Linked DNA regions of Sus scrofa. The protein of the gene in region 1 interacts with the protein of each later gene in a biochemical or structural test. Links are inferred from orthologs where the notes say so. Each region holds a gene or a part of one and is shown in the gene's direction. Other genes may lie near its edges. The genes, in order: FGF2 and FGFBP1.

What was found.
Region 2: the proteins of FGF2 (region 1) and FGFBP1 form a complex in vitro, tested with the Homo sapiens proteins (2 studies listed by BioGRID and IntAct, with this or other methods). The link is inferred for Sus scrofa from reciprocal best matches to the Homo sapiens genes FGF2 and FGFBP1.

The regions. Positions count from the first base shown.
Region 1 is NC_010450.4:101,339,781-101,347,631, reverse strand, and holds the start of FGF2 (fibroblast growth factor 2), read left to right. Parts: upstream 1-3,547; coding exon 3,548-3,711; intron 3,712-3,768; coding exon 3,769-4,376; intron 4,377-7,851. UniProt on the Homo sapiens protein: Acts as a ligand for FGFR1, FGFR2, FGFR3 and FGFR4. Also acts as an integrin ligand which is required for FGF2 signaling. Binds to integrin ITGAV:ITGB3.
Region 2 is NC_010450.4:11,184,490-11,192,376, reverse strand, and holds FGFBP1 (fibroblast growth factor-binding protein 1), read left to right. Parts: upstream 1-3,059; 5' UTR 3,060-3,209; intron 3,210-4,919; 5' UTR 4,920-4,939; coding exon 4,940-5,653; 3' UTR 5,654-6,017; downstream 6,018-7,887.

The DNA.
Region 1 (7,851 bases):
GAATTAATTTTTTGATAAGGTCCAAATTCATTCTTTTTCATGTGAATATTTAGTTGTGCCAACTAAATTTGTTGGAAAGACTATTCTTTCTTCATTGAATAGTCTTAGCACCCTTGTTGAAAATCAATTGATCCTAAATGTCGGTTTATTTTTTAACTCTCAATTCTGTTCCATTGATTTATATGCTTATCCTTAATTCTGTACCACACTGTCCTATACACTATAGCTTTGTAGAAAGTTTTGAAATTAAGTCTTCGAGTTCTCTTCTTCTTATTCAAGATTGGGGTTCTTTGCCTGTCCATATGAATTTTAGAATTAGCTTGTCATTTTCTTCAAAAAAAGGAAGTTGGAATTTTGACAGAGAATGCATTGAATCTGTAGATCAACTTTAGTATTAATTACCATCATAACAATATTGTCTTCAAATCCATGAATATAGATATTTCTCCATTTATTTATATCTCCTTTAATTCTTCCAAATAATGTTTGTAGTTTTCAGTATACAAGTCTTGAACTTCTTTGGTTAAATTTATTCCTAAGTATTTTATTTATTTTGATGCTATTGTAAGTGGAATTGTTTGCTTTCTTTCTCTCTTTGAATTTTTCTTTTTTAAATTGGCTGCGCTGGCTAGGAACTGAGCCCATGCCACAGCAGCTCCCCAAGCTATAGTGACAATGCCAAATCCTTAACCTCTGCATATAAGAGGACTCCCAGAATTGTTTTTTTAATTTCATTTTTGGATTGTACTTTGCTAGTGTAAAGAAATGCAACTGATTTTAATATACTGATCTTGTATCCTGCAATCTTGCTGAAATCATTTATTAGCTCTTATAGTTGTATGCATGTGTACATATGTTCTTTAGGATTTTCTATATTTAAGATTGTGTCAGAGTCCCCATCGTGGCTCAGTGGTTAATGAATCCAGCTAGGAAGCATGAGGTTGCAAGTTGGATCCCTAGCCTCGCTCAGTGGGTTAAGGATCCAGTGTTGCCACGAGCTGAGGCATAGGTCGCAGACGCAGCTCGCATCCCGAGTTGCTATGGCTCTGGCGTAGGCTGGTGGCTATAGCTCCGATTAGACCCCTAGCCTGGGAACCTTCATATGCCTTGGGTGCTGCCCTAGAAAAAGACAAAAAAAAAAAAAAAAAAAAAAAAAAAGATTGTGTGTCATCTGCAAATACAGATAGATTTACTTCTACATCTACAATGTGGATACCTTCATTTCACTTCTGGCGTAATTATTCCATTGTAAGACTCCACCCTTACGATCTCATTTAAATTTAATTGCCTCCTGTAAAGGTCCTGTCTCCAAATACAGTCACATTGGAGGTTAGAGCCTCAACAAATGAATCTGAGGGTCACACACTTCATTCCATGACAGTTACCTACAACTTACATGAGTTGTAAAGTTGCTCAAAGATACTGGGACCCCATAGAATCAGCTAATTTAGTTCTACTAAGATAACTCCTATTCCATTGAAGATATTTAGTAATCAATTTTTTCTTTTCGATTTAAGAGTCTTTCACATTTTCCCCTACATTAAAAAAAGTATTTGCTATTCTTATATATTTATCCAAATGAATTTTACATATTGTTAAATAGTTTTAAAAACTGTGCTAAAATTTTGATTATTGTTTAAAAATTTTAAATATGGTTAGAGGAATTTGCCACTGTTATTTTACTGTATGTTTCCATCCAGGAACATTTGAGATTTTTTTTTTTAAGCTCTCATTAAGTCTTTGTACTTTTCATCATTTATATTCCGAACAATTCTTATTAATTCCAAGGTAATTTATCTTGGTATTGTGAGGAAGTTCTCCTTCTGTTATAGTTTCTAAAGCATTATCTAAAGATATCTAAGGTATCTAAAGCATTGAGGAGTAAGTCCTCCTTCTTTTATAGTTTCCAAAGCATTTTCAGTGGAACCTAAAGGTTTTTAAAATTAATGTTTTCAATTCATCATCTTATAGAATTCTACCGTTGATTCTAGTTATTTTTCAAAATTATTTTTTTATTTTCATCCTTATAGTTGGGTGAATTGAGAATGCAAGTAAGTCGATTGCTCCTGGTGCAGCTGAGACCAAAATGATTGTATGGAAGAATATTGTCTGTCTCTCTGTGTCCATACAAGTGTGTGTTGAGAAGGCTGTGGGTAGGAACTTGAGACAACTTTCTTAATGATGTCTTCTTGGAATTAACACTATTTGCCTTGGAGACCTAGATTCCTAGAACTGGCTTAACCATTTCTTGTGATATCCTGACTTTGAAGGAATTAGAAAACAATCAGTTACTGTACATGGGATGCAATTCTACAAGACCGGTGGTCTATTAGCATACAAATTACTTAACTGCTTGTAGCTGTTCCCCAAATTTCTGGATACTACTGTTTAAAAATATTTTGACTTAGCTTTTATCCCTTTGGTCTTGGAACACAGGTTTCTGTGACAGAGTTCAAGACTTACTCAAATCTAACTTGATTTCAAAGTAAGGGGCAACCTGAAGAGTGCTGCAGTAGCTTCAGGCATTCCCTGGGATACCTACAGAGATCATCTGAAAGGGAGCTCTTTGTTATAACAAATTTTCGGTGCAGAGTAAACCTGTCCATTTTGGAGAGAGATGTCAGAGAAGCCGAATTGGCCCAGATTAAGCCTGGTTTTAAAGCTCCAAAGAATTGATGCACACTCTTATTTAACAGCTTAGAAATGCACCTGGAGTTAAACCTCTCTTGGAGACATGAACAAATGCACTCATGGATAATCTTTCAAAAGCAAACATGTTCTTAAACAGAGGAACTTCTGTATTCTCACCTCTTCCTAGAAGCTTTCCCTAGCCCTGACTACCCTCAAGCTGATTTTGTTTGTGTTGTTCATGCTCCCTATTGTCGCCTTCACTGTGCCAGAAGATCCCATGCAATGAGGCTTTTCTCACTGCATTTACTGAAATGCTTTGCACACAGTAGGCGCTCAGTATATGAATTTTATGGACCAGTATTTTCCTTATCTGTAGTACCTGTTATATTCTACTGAAAGTTAGCGAAGTGCAATTAACTTTAATTTTGTAGTTTGGGATTTTCAGAAAACTACCCTCCTTCCAAGAAATGCCTAACAGTTTAGCTAGAAAAAGACATTAACATGCTTCTAACGTGATAAGGATTTGAGACCCATCTTCATCTTTACACGTTGTCTAATTCAAGTTAAGTTAGTAAAAGGAAAACTCTTTCCTTTTAGCAACCCAATCCTCTCCCCTTCTCTGGCCTCTTTCTTTCCTTCTGTTAGTAAACTACTTCAGCCTCTGCCTTCAATTTTAACAATTTGTGCCTTGCGGGTACCCCTCATCTTTCGGTGATTAGAGAGGTTCAAAACCTACTGTGACACACAATCCTCCCTCGCTTCCGATTCCTCTATTTTTTTCCGGGGTGGAAATAGTTTCTCAGCTTTGAAGAGCTGGCAGGGAAAAAGAATGGGGGAGAAAATTGCATTTAAACTTTGAAAAGTTGAGTCACGACTGGTTGCACAGCAAAAGCTCCTCACTGTGGAGAAAGACTAAATGTCGTTTGGGTGGCGCGGGGTTGGGCTGGGGCGCCTTCTGGGGAACCGGCGGGGTCGAGGGCTCTGGAGCTGCGGAGGCCTTGGCTTTGGCCTCCTGCCGCGCCCCCGCATCTCCCCCGCCCGCGACTGCCTTCCAACTCCCTTTGGATGTCGCGCGCTTGCGTGAGGCAGCCGGAGCGGCCGACCCAGAGGCCGGCCCCAGAAAACCGGAGCGAGTAGGGGGCGGCGCGCTGGAAGGGAGGAGGGCCGGGGGCGTGGGGGTTGGTGGGCGTTTGGGGGTGGAGATGTAGAAGATGTGACGCCGCGCGGCTCGGCCGGTGCCAGACCAGCGGACTCAGAGCCCGCAGTTGCAAGCCGATCCCGGGCGCTGCAGTTTGGGGAGGCGGCCCTGCCGAGAGTGGCGGCCGCCGAGAAACCCAGCCCTAACCCGCAGCTCCAGGGCCGGCGGAGAGCGAAGCGGCCAAACAGCACGAGGCTGGGGGCCCGCGGGCGCGGCCGCGTGCCGCGGGGCGGGAGGCTGGGGGGCCGGGGCCGGGGCCGCGCTCCGGAGCGCGTCGGAGGCCGGGGCCGGGGGTCGGCGGCGGCGGCGGCGGCGGCTCCCCGCGCGGCTCCAGGGGCTCGGGGACCCCGGCAGAGCCCTGGTGGGGCCATGGCAGCCGGGAGCATCACCACGCTGCCCGCCCTGCCGGAGGACGGCGGCAGCGGCGCCTTCCCGCCCGGCCACTTCAAGGATCCTAAGCGGTTGTACTGCAAAAACGGAGGCTTCTTCCTGCGCATCCACCCCGACGGCCGAGTGGATGGGGTCCGGGAGAAGAGCGACCCTCACAGTGAGTACTGGCCCGCTGGTCCTCCCCAGCGCGGTCTCCATCTCGCGCGGTTCTCTCGCCTGCCTTCCAGTCCCCGCTCTCCTTCTTTCCACTCCGACCCCAGTGGGACTTGTGGTTTCTCTCCGCGCTGCCCTCGGCGGTTTCAGGTTCACCGCTCGCCCCCTCCTCCCCCGAGCTGCGGTGGCGGGTAGACGCTCCCCTAGGCTTTGGAGTGTGCCGCTTTCCCCTGGTAAACCAGTCCTCTGGGCCCGGAGCCGCAGGGCGCCCCGGCCTTGCCGGCGGCTTGCTGAGCGCTGACAACCTGTCGTATCCGGGATACCCCGCGGCGGAGCGGAGGTGAGCCGCCCGCCAGGTGCCGCCCGCGCCCCCCAGGCTTGAGTTTCGACCCCTTCTCTCTGGGATGCACGCAGTCCACCCCCCACCCCCCGCCCCCGCAAAGCCGACAGCAGCCGTATTAAAAGGGAAAATACCATAAGAGCCGTGTCTTTAAATTCCAATTCGGTAGGATCCGAGGTGGCTGGCACACTGCTCTCGTCCACCCACTTCTGTTTTTTCCTCCGAATTTTCGAAAGCTGAAAGAAAAAAACGAATGGGCTTTGTGCTATAGATTTTCGTTTCAGTTCTAAAAAGAACTGCAAAAACTTTAATTTTCCATTTGCAGTTATTAGGTTTGGGACCTCGAGAGATACTTAACTTGTGAACCCGTTTCCTCTTCCCGAAAGTGGGGATATTATTTACCTTGCATCGGGTTTGAGGATCAAATAAGAATTTATATAAAGTTATATAAAGTGCTCAGAGGATTCAGTTTACTAGTCTACACTTTGGTTTACTGTAAAAAAAAAAAAAAAAGAAAGTGTTTGTGGTTATAGAAATAAGTCTGGCCTGAGTTATTAGTTCTCAAATTTTAGGAGTGCCTTAGAATCACATGGATAGTTTGTTATCAGGCATGGAGGAACCATCTCCCACAGTTTGATTCCTTCGGTCTGGAGTGGGGTCTGATAATTTGCGATCCCTGGTGATGTTGAGGCGGAGCACACTTTGAGACCCACTGGTCTAGAGAAAAGGGAAGAAAAGGGCATAAAATGAGCTGGTTAAAAAACATTGATGAATTTTAAGTGAAAGAAAGAGGATCAGATGTATTTTAACTGTCATCCTGTAAGTGTAGCTGAAACATCTGTTTTAAAAGCTGTTCTGCCTGGCCTTTCTCTATGGGTTTCAGGTGGAAATTTCATCCTCTTTTTGCATTAGACCCACAGGAGTTTACCTTTTGATGCTAATGGTATGTCCTTCACCCTCGAGGGAGGGGTTAGGAAGAGGAGAAAGTTCTGCAGCCAAACCTGAGTTGACAAATTCTAGAATGGGAAATGTCCTTTTGTAAAAGTTGGGTCCTAATTGATTCCGAAACAGCGAAAGATGCAGGTCTGTAATTTTTTTTCAGGTCTGCCATAATTTAAAAATTTTACCAGCTGCTTACCTTATCCAGTAAAAACTGAAAAGATGCTTGTAGCCCAACATATGGGTTAATGCTCTTACTCTTTTTTTTTGTAGCTAAGTAGGTTTCACAAATTATCTTTGGAGTTTGTTCTGCAGTTGGCTGCCAGACTAGCCCAGCTGATTAGGGCAGGGTGCATGCATATATACCAGTTCATTTTGTCTTTTCTAGGAGTTTAAGAAAGACCATGTTGTTGTGAGTAGAAGACAGAACTCTTCTCCAGATCAGATTCATGTTGGGGCTTCCCCTAGTACTCTTTTTTATTTTTTTTCCAGTTATCTTATTAGTTACATTTTTTTCCACTTTGAAGCTTCAATACCCTATTTCCTTTAGAATAAAAGTGTATAGGGACTAGCAAGTGAGGATAATTCTGAACTGCACACCACATTACCATCCTTGTAAAGACAACCATTAACGTTAACTCTCAATTCTGGATTGAGTTGTCATTTTTGTAATCTGATTTTAACCCAGTGGTAATCAAATGGGGTTGATACCTATCCCCATTCCTACTCCCCCCATTTGGCAATGCCTGGAGACATTTTTGGTTATCATACGTGGAAGGGTGCTGCTGGCATATAAGTAGAGGCGGGGATGTTGTTAAACATCCTACAGGACACACAGTACCTCCTGCATCCCTCAGCAAAAAATTTTCTGACCCAGGTGTTAATGGTGCTAAGATTGAGAAACTCTGCCAACTTGATAACCAGCTAAAGAGAAGATGTTAAAAGTGAAGAGTTTATGGAGATGATTGATTTTTTTAAATCACCTTTTACCAGGCAATAGACTGACAGGAATGTAAATCTAAAAATGATGAATTTGGACTACTTTTATGTATCCCAACCTGGACATAAGTTTTAAGTGCAATATTTTTTTCCCGGCATATGGAATGTGTCCTGATGGTTGACCAAACCAAGAGGAAACTTAGGGGAAAGAGATAAGAAAAAAATGAATATGGACATGACATAACAATATACTTTCAACCACATCCTCTCCATTCTTCACAACAAACAAAACTGGTCTGCAAACTTGGAGAAATAAAGCAGAGTTAATGGTTGCTACAACTTCCCACTGAATTAAGGCTAGGTGTCTGGACTGGTTTGAAATGCTGACAAACCTAAGGCCCCATTCCTCAAGCTGTTTTGCTCAATGGACCTGAAAAATCTACCATTTGAGAGTTATTCCTTTGGTGTTAACACCTTCTGTCCAGCTGTTACTAACATGCAAACACAGTCTGTGCCCCATATCCGAGGGTTCCCCATCTGTGTATGGAGATGGAGGGCCCACAGCTATGCCATTTTTCCATGAGGGACTCGAGCCTCCACTACTGTTGGTATCTGCTGGGGATCCTGGAACCAAACCCCCATGGATACCAGGGGAAGACTGTACCTCTGAAGAGTTCAACCATTATTGGATTTTACCACTTGGTGTGAGTTAAGTTGTGTGCAATTTCTTCCCTGAAATCTGACCAGAAGGACTGAAGTTGAGGGAGGGAAGCTTTGAAGATGGCGGCATAAATGTGGGGCACTGGTTAGGTGTGGGGGACTTGGCTCAGGTTGTGAAAAGATGTAGGGCAGGAGGAAAGCGGGAGAAAGGAAAGGGAATGTAAGGTAAGGTGACTGAATCCCAACTACTCAGTATTGCCAAAGATCACCTGTGCTTCTCATGTGGGTTCTTGCTTGAGTTTTCACTTGAAAAGAACTGTTTTCAGAGTTCCTGTTTGGGCTCAGCAGTAACAAACTCAACCAGTATCCATGAAGACATGGATTCTGTCCCTGGCTTTGATCAGTGGGTTAAGGATCTGGAGTTGCCGTGAGCTGTGGTGTAGGTTACAGATGCTGCTTGGATCTGGTGTTGCTGTGGCTGTGGGTTAGGCCAGCAGCTGCAGCTCTGATTTGACCCCTAGCCTGGGAACTTCCATATGCTGTGGGTAAAGCCCTAAAAAGAAAGAAAAGAGGGGGTGGGGGAGGGGAGGAAGGAAGGAAA
Region 2 (7,887 bases), about 90 Mb from region 1:
TATGCTAACAGGGAAAGGGTTGCATAGTCTGATCTAAAATCGTCCCCTGTTTGGAAAAGAAAGTTCAGGCAGAAGTTAGGATAAGATCATAGGGAGCCTGAAGTTCCGTGGAAAGCCAATGGGGGAAGTTCCATGTTTTCCCTTCCAGACACTTCTCAGAAAAGATCCTGGAATCCCCATGTTTCCTTCTCAATTTGCTTTGTGTTCTGACCTGCAGTCTTTCTCCAGAAAAAGTCTGGCTGCCCCCTGAGGATCAAGATGATTTTCTCCCTTTGCTGGAGACCACCTTGGTCTATATCTGCTGACAAAGCAGTTTTTGTCTTTCCTGGGTCCAAATAATGCCCCTCCATCCTGATACCACCATGTAAGTGCCTCTTCATGCGGGTCATGGTTCAATAAGGTGGAGGTCAGAACAAAGGGGATGGATCTCAGGGTGAGCATGAGCCAATTTTACAGGAGGCTTGGAGTTTGGGAAAATAGCCTCTTCCTCGAAGGAGGTCATGAAGAATTCCTTTGAACAACTGAGTGAACAAGTCAACCTCGGTCCTCCATAGCTCTGTGACCTTGGAATTCTCAAACAGGTGGAACTTGAATGGAGTCCAACCACGGTTACAATTTTCTGTATCCTTCTTATGGGCCAGGACAATGTTTTAGAAAATTTTCACTTAGATGCCAACCAAATGCCATATACACACATTTGGAAGTTGGGGGGTCTCTTAAAAGTTCATGAAATGTCGTTTCTTTCTTTTCTTTTTTAAGGCTGCACCTGCAGCATATGGAATTTCCCAGGCTAGGGGCTGAATCGGAGCTGCAACTGAGGCCTGTGCCACAGCCATGGCAACACCAGATCTGAGCTGCATCTGCAACTTACGCTGCAGCTTGTGGCAACGCCAGATCCTTAACCCACTGATCGAGGACAGGGATCAAACCCGCATCCTCATGTGGTTCAGCAGGTGAAGAACCCACTATGTCGGGTTCTTCACCTGCTGAACCACAACTCCTGAAATGTCCATTTTTATTTTTTTTAAATGTACGTGTGAAGAAAATTCATTAGGTGTGAAAATATCGAACTCTATGCCAACATGTTTTTGGTCACCTGGCACCGAGTATTGACATCTAGGTATCAGGAACTACCCAGTTTGTCACATGTCCGCCACTCCTTATTGTCGGTTGCCATTTATCATCACTCTTGTGCTATTGTTTTCCTTACAGCTGAGTCAAGAAGAAAATGAAAAATTTCTTGTGCCTGAACGTCGGTGAGAAAAATACAGTCACCCAGTATGGTAAAGACCCCCTCTTTGTGGAAGTGAGTTTTTTAAATAGACTCAATATGAAAACAAACTGTATCTGTTTTTAAAGAATACAACCAAAGGCCATCTTATGAACCAATCTTATCTGCTTCCCCTGATGTTAACAGCTCAGCCTCCTAAATGCTTTAGTATGAAACCCTAAATGAGGTTCTGGTACAGTCAGCTGTCAGTAGATGAACAAATGGAAAGTCAGAGAAGTTATGATCACAGCGAAACAGGAGTCCCCATCACGGCTCAGTGGTTAATGAACCTGACTAGCATCCATGAGGACATGGGTTCGATCTCTAGCCTTGCTCAGTGGGTTAAGGATCCAGAGTTGCTGTAAGTTGTGATGTAGATGGAAGACGTAGCTTGGATCCTGGGTTGCTGTGGCTGTGGTGTAGGCCGGCATCTACAGCCCTGATTCAACCTCTAGCCTGGAAATTTCCATATGCCATGGGTGCAGCCCTAAAAAGAAAAAAAAAAAAAAATCACTCAACAAAAGCTGGGTTCAGCATTCCACTAGGTCATTCTACCAGACTGCCTAGAGAAGGCTGACCTGGGTGAGGCCCCCACCTGTGACTAGAAGGTAAATATTTTCCACAAAAACCCAGATCAGATATTTCCTCCTTTTGGGCCTCTCAGGGCCCAAAGATTCCTCTACACACACAGGACTTTCAGGTGCCTCCGTGAAAACAAGAATTCAGACCCTGAGGTGGTTTCCCCAGCGCAGTCCCTCAGTCACCGAATGTTTATTGAGAGTATCCGGTTAAGAAGAGATCAGACGATGAACCCAGGTCATCTAGGCTTTAAACCCAGGGCCCCTCATCCTCCCAGCCCTGTGATCCTGGACAAGCCCTGAAGACTCCAAGCCCCCATATCCATCTGTAGAGTGGGATGAATTAGAGGTTCGTGTCGGGAGGAGCTATAACCATGTTCTCAAAGGTTTAATTCTTGTCGCAGAAGGAATTCAGAAATGAGACGGAAATGGAGAAAGCAATGTGAGGATTTAAGTGAGAAATACCCCTTTTAAAGAGAAGCAGGCAGAGGGGCGAGCAGCTGCCCTGTGTTTTTCTGATACGCAGGTTATAAGGGGCATCCAGTTGCATGGGTGGGCTATTGACTGGGAAGGTGGGGTTTGGGGGTCTTATTCCTTAATTTTTCATCCCAGCCCCACTTTTCCAAGGGGAGGAGGGATTTTTGTCTTTATTTAGCTTTTATCGGAAGTGTCGTGCCATTGGGGTAAGATAGGTACTTCTTATCTACATAGCTAATTTTATTATGATTTTATTATAATGAGGGCATCATGAGCGACAGGCTACATTCCGATTCGAGCCCTTTTCCACATTTCTTTGTCTGCCTCCAGGGCACTTATTACCCTAAAATGTGTGGTTTCCAATCAGGCTGGAAGTTCCTGCTTTTCTTTGCCCATGGACCCTGCCATTTGCAAGACGTGTGATTTCCTGCCATCTGGCCCCGTGCCCCACTTCTCTGCTCATGCCTAACTATCTGCCTGCTGGAACCATGAGAATGAAGGGAGAGTTTGTGACATGGGCTATTGTTTCTAACTTCCCCCACGGATTTGGCTGCTGGGTCCTTATCCCGAGGCAGAGGGTCTCGGCAAGGCCAGGCTGTCCTCCCCAAGTGGCTGCAGGGGGGCATGGAAAGGGTTGGAAGAAGCTGGTCTAGACCATGGCTCGTCCTGCAGGATTACACCAACAACTTTCCCTGCAGGAACTGGCTCCTTCTGAAGGGGCGTGGCTGGGAGCCGTGTGCATAAAACTCACATGTGTGAGTTGTAAAATCTTCGGTGCTTATATAAAGGTCCGTCCCTGCCTCACCTCGTGGGTAAGGCAGCTGGAAGCCTACGGGTTCACTCTCACATCTGGGACCGCACGGGATCTGCCAGCTCAGAAAGAGGTAAGAGCCTGGCTCTCTTCCCTTTCATGACCTGCCCCCGAGGAATGAGGGGGTCTTTATCTGATAAACTAGCTCCTACCCCAACCTTCATTTTGGGAGCTTGCATTTTGTGACTGTCTTCCCTTTATTCATCCTTGAGGGAGGCCATATGCCCAGGGCGGAACCTCTTTTTAAACAAAAATCTCTGTTTTTTAAAATGGAGCACTGAGGAGTTCCCGTTGTGGCTCAACAAGTGAGGGACCCCACGTTTTTTTCTGGTGTTTGATTCCTGGCCTCACTCAGTGGGTTAAGGATCTGGCATTGGTGCAGGCTGTGCAGTAAGCTGCAGCTTCAACTCTGATTCAACCTCTGACCTGGGAACTTCCATATGCCGCAGGCGTGGCTGTAAAAAGAAAAAAAAAAAAATTAAAATGGAGCCCTGATAATAATGATGATCTTATCATCGGAAACTAAGCCAAGCCAAATCTTGAGTGGTTCATCATGGCTTCTTTCTTTCTTGTCAATAGTTTCTGAAAGGCAGAGCAAGGGGAAGGCAAGAGGCTTTCAGAGAGGGGCAGAGAAGTCCTGGCTGCCTGTCCCCACTTTGTTACTTGCTCGCTATTGAATATTGAACAATTTCATTTGCCAGTCTGAATCTTCGCAGTCATAGCTGTTACCTGGTGGTGAATTACCTCCCAGGCAGGGTTCTGGTGCAGATTTACAAAGGTGAGAAAAGAAAACATGGGCCCAGTGCTCAGCACACAGTAGGTAGCAAAGAGAAGTGCTAATTCTTTCCAGTGTGGCTTTTGTTGCCCACCTGATAAAATCTATGCAGTTTAGTGTAGCAGTTAAGGTCATCCAATTTACTCAATGATTTGTTTTTAAAAGCATTGATTGAGGGCTTTCTCTATGCCCAACCCAGTGAAGGCACTCCCAAATTCACCCCAATTCACTCTGGTTCACTTTGCGGAATCAAATTGCCTGACCTCCCCTCCTCATGCCTTTCCTGAGGCTCTTACTGGAGCCCAAATGCACCTCCTCACAAACCCACCCACCCATCTCAGACTGTCCAAACCTCAGACATGTTTGACCTTGGGTCAAACACCACCATTCATGTCACTTACGATGTCCTTTCTCATGGCGTGGTCATCTGAGTCCATGTAGAGCAGTGAGATGGAAATGCAGCCACTGGGGCTGGAAGAGAGTTGATATGAGCGTCTTTCAACATCTTGATTTCCAGATAAAGGAGCTGAGACCCAGAGGGGGAGAGTGACTTGCCCAAGATCAAACTGGGGACACAGTTGGGACAGACTCCTAGTTAATGCTATTTAGATTTCCCTAAAGAGTTGCCTCTAAGTTTTTCAGATGGGAGACTTTCTTATTCACCTTGAAAAATTCAACCTCGAGTCTAGCACCTGCCTACTAGTAGGGGTTCCATAAAGGCTTCTTGAATGATGACTGACAGGTGACCAAATGCAGGAGTAACTGAGACAGGAGAGGAGGGAGTGAGAGTTAATGGGGTTCAGAGGGTGATGAGGAACAAATGAGAAGTAGGAGGTTTCTGACACTCATGACTCAAGTCAAGCAAAAACGCAAATAGACTGCTTGGCTATTAATTCCAGGAACTAGATAGTTCCTTGATCTCATTGCTAAGCAGGCAGGCCCGTGTCAGTGTAGAGGGAGGGTCATCCTGCAGCCCAGCCCTGACTCACCTTGTCTTTTGTCAAACAGGTTCCCACCAAGCCGAAGCCATGAGGATCCATGGCCTCACCCTGCTCTTCTTCCTCCTTCTGGCTGCTCCCATGCTCTTGGTGGAGGCCAAAAAGGAAGGAAAGAATAGACGTGGCCACAAAGCCAGTGCAGATAAATCGCACGCTCTTGACAATCCCCAGGTTGAGCTGAAAAGCCAGCTGCCCAAGCACCTGCCCAAAGGCAATTTCATCACCCAAGACCAAGCCGACTGCAGATGGGAGGTGACCGAGCATCAGGAGGGCATTGCCCTGAAGGTCGAGTGCACCCGAGAGGACAGCAGGTTTTCCTGTGTCTTCACTGGCAATCCAACCTCTTGCCTGGAGTCGAACAAGAAGAATGTCTATTGGAAACAAATTGGCAGGAACCTGCGCTCTCAGAAAATGATCTGTGGCGACTCCAAGAGTGTCCTGAAGACCAGGGTGTGCAGAAAGAAGTTTCCAGAATCCAATCTCAAGCTGGTGAACTCCACTCTGATTAGGATCAAGAAACCCAGCCAGGAGTTAATGAAGCCCTCTCTCAGGGGGCAGAGCAAGGTCAAAGACACCACCCCCTCCAGTCCAGCACAGACCCAGACCATGGCCATCAAAGATCCCGAGTGTGTGGATGACCCAGACATGGTCCACCAGAGAAAGACGGCCTTGGACTATTGTGGAGAGTCCTGGAGCTCTTTCTGCAAATTCTTCATCGCCATGGTTCAGGGCAGTTCCTGCTAACGAGGTCAAGAGAGAACGGAGTCCATTCGAAGGTGTCAGGTCGCAGCCCTTCCACATGCTGTAAAGATCTCCCGGATCCCTGTTAAAAGGAACATTTGCGCTATGGGAGTGCAGTGGATTATTTAAACAGATTTTGTAATTTTTGTTTTTGTGGTTTTGGCATTTGTTTTCTATTCATTTCCTTAGCTGTGATTGTCAGAGGCTGTTGACCTCTGTCTTTATGTTTTCATGGCCCACAAAGCTACGTTTCTCTGAGCAGTAAGTACCCATCTTGGAGCTGAATGAGTCAGAGGGATGATTTCAGCGCAATGACTTCCTGCTCAAAGAACAAAGACAATAAAGCTCTATGCGTTTTTCAGAAATATGTTGTGTTCAACTGTTGTTTGGCTTCTCTGTGTCTAATTTCAGTGAATGACTAAACAGGAATATATATATATATATATATCAGTGGGAAAAATACCCTGTTTGCCCCCCATCCCAAGTCAGCCTATAGGTGACCTGTTCTGGAATCCCACTCCTCATCCTTTTGTGCTTTGGTCTGTGATGCTTCCTGAACTGATTTGATGCTTCCTGAATTGATGTCAGGTGGGATACTGGAAGCAAAATGGGATAAAGACAATGGTTAGGGGCTCACAGATGGTAAGAGGGGAGGCAGGATTTGAACCCAGTCCACAGGCTGAAGGAATACCTTCCACTGATTCAAACCAGGGATGCCCGTTGCCACATGTGGGACTCAGACCTTGAGGAGCTCATTTCCGGACTCGGGGAGAGGGGCTTGGGTAAGTACAGGGCTTGTGATGAAGACTCCATCACAAGCGGGAAAGGCAGGGGGGAAAACTAGAGAGAAGAGGCAGAAACTTCTGGAAGATGTCAGGTTGAGTTTCACACAAGAGCTGCTATTGGAGCTGAATTTTTGGAGTAGGAAATAGGGCAGAATTGAAATTGGGCACCTTAGGCAGAGGACAGATCCTAAAAGATGGGAGAGATCACATGGGTGGAAGGTGGTGGGATGTTGTTAGTCATTTACATGTTAGTCTGAAAAAGCCAAAAGGGTTTGAATCGAAGGTTTGGGGAGAGAGGAAGGTGTAGCCCCAATGTCATGTCCCAATTCCACAAAGGACAAAAAGTGAGAGCAGATGTGGGTTAAAATATTGCTCTTTGGAGTCTTTCTCGAGTGGGTGGCAGGAAGCGATGGCAGATGAGGGGGAAAGGGGTCTCCTACAGTCACCAGCCTACCAGGACCTACACTGAGGTTGTCAGTGGCCAACCCAGAGTGTGACAGCCTCAGAGTGTGTTTGGATATCATCATCCATCCTCGACACTAATATTTCTCTCTCACTCACTATGCACCAGGCACTGCACTAAGCTCTTTCCATGCAATTTGCATGTTTTCATTCATTTACTCACTCACTGAGCACATAATTTATTGAGCGATGAGTCTGCTGAAGAGACAGCCATGCACCAGAGATGAACGTTCGACTTCCATGGAACGGCCAGGGGGGAAAGCAACTAAAACCCATCAATACACAAATGACAGAGAGGAATTCAAGGAGGAGAAAGGGGCGAAAACGACAGACAGTCACTGGCCTTAGATAATATGGTCAAGGAAGGCCTCTTGGTGACTAAATGCAGTGAGGTCTAACCAGTGAGTCACCCCAGGTAACTCTATGGGGTAAGAGTGTTCTAAACAGAGGAACCAGTTAGTGCAAATGCTCTGAAATTAGTTAATGAGCTCTGAGCTCCCAGTGAGTGCTGGATTCTAAAGGATGAAAACAATGGCAAACAAAAAAGAAAAAAAAATTCCATCCTTCCTACTGTATAGTGCAGGGGACTATATGCTAGCTCTTTTGATAGAACATAATGGAAGGTGACATGAGAAAAAGAAAAAAAATATATATATATATACATGTATTACTGGGTCACTTTGCTGGACGGCAGAAAGTGACACAACATTGTAATCCAACTGTACATTAATAAAAAATTTTAAAAGACTGTAAGGAACATAATTATCATGATTAGTGAAATTGGAAATATGAATTTTGGCTTTGATACTAGCATGGAATTAATGTTAGACTTCTTCATATTGATTCTGTGTGTAATATAATAATATTGTTCTTAGGAAATAAAATAGAGAACATTTGCAGGTTAAAAAATATTATTTCTGAACTATAAATATCTAAATAAAAATACTTCCCAAAATATTAGGTTAAAAAAAAATCTATCCTGCTGGTGCT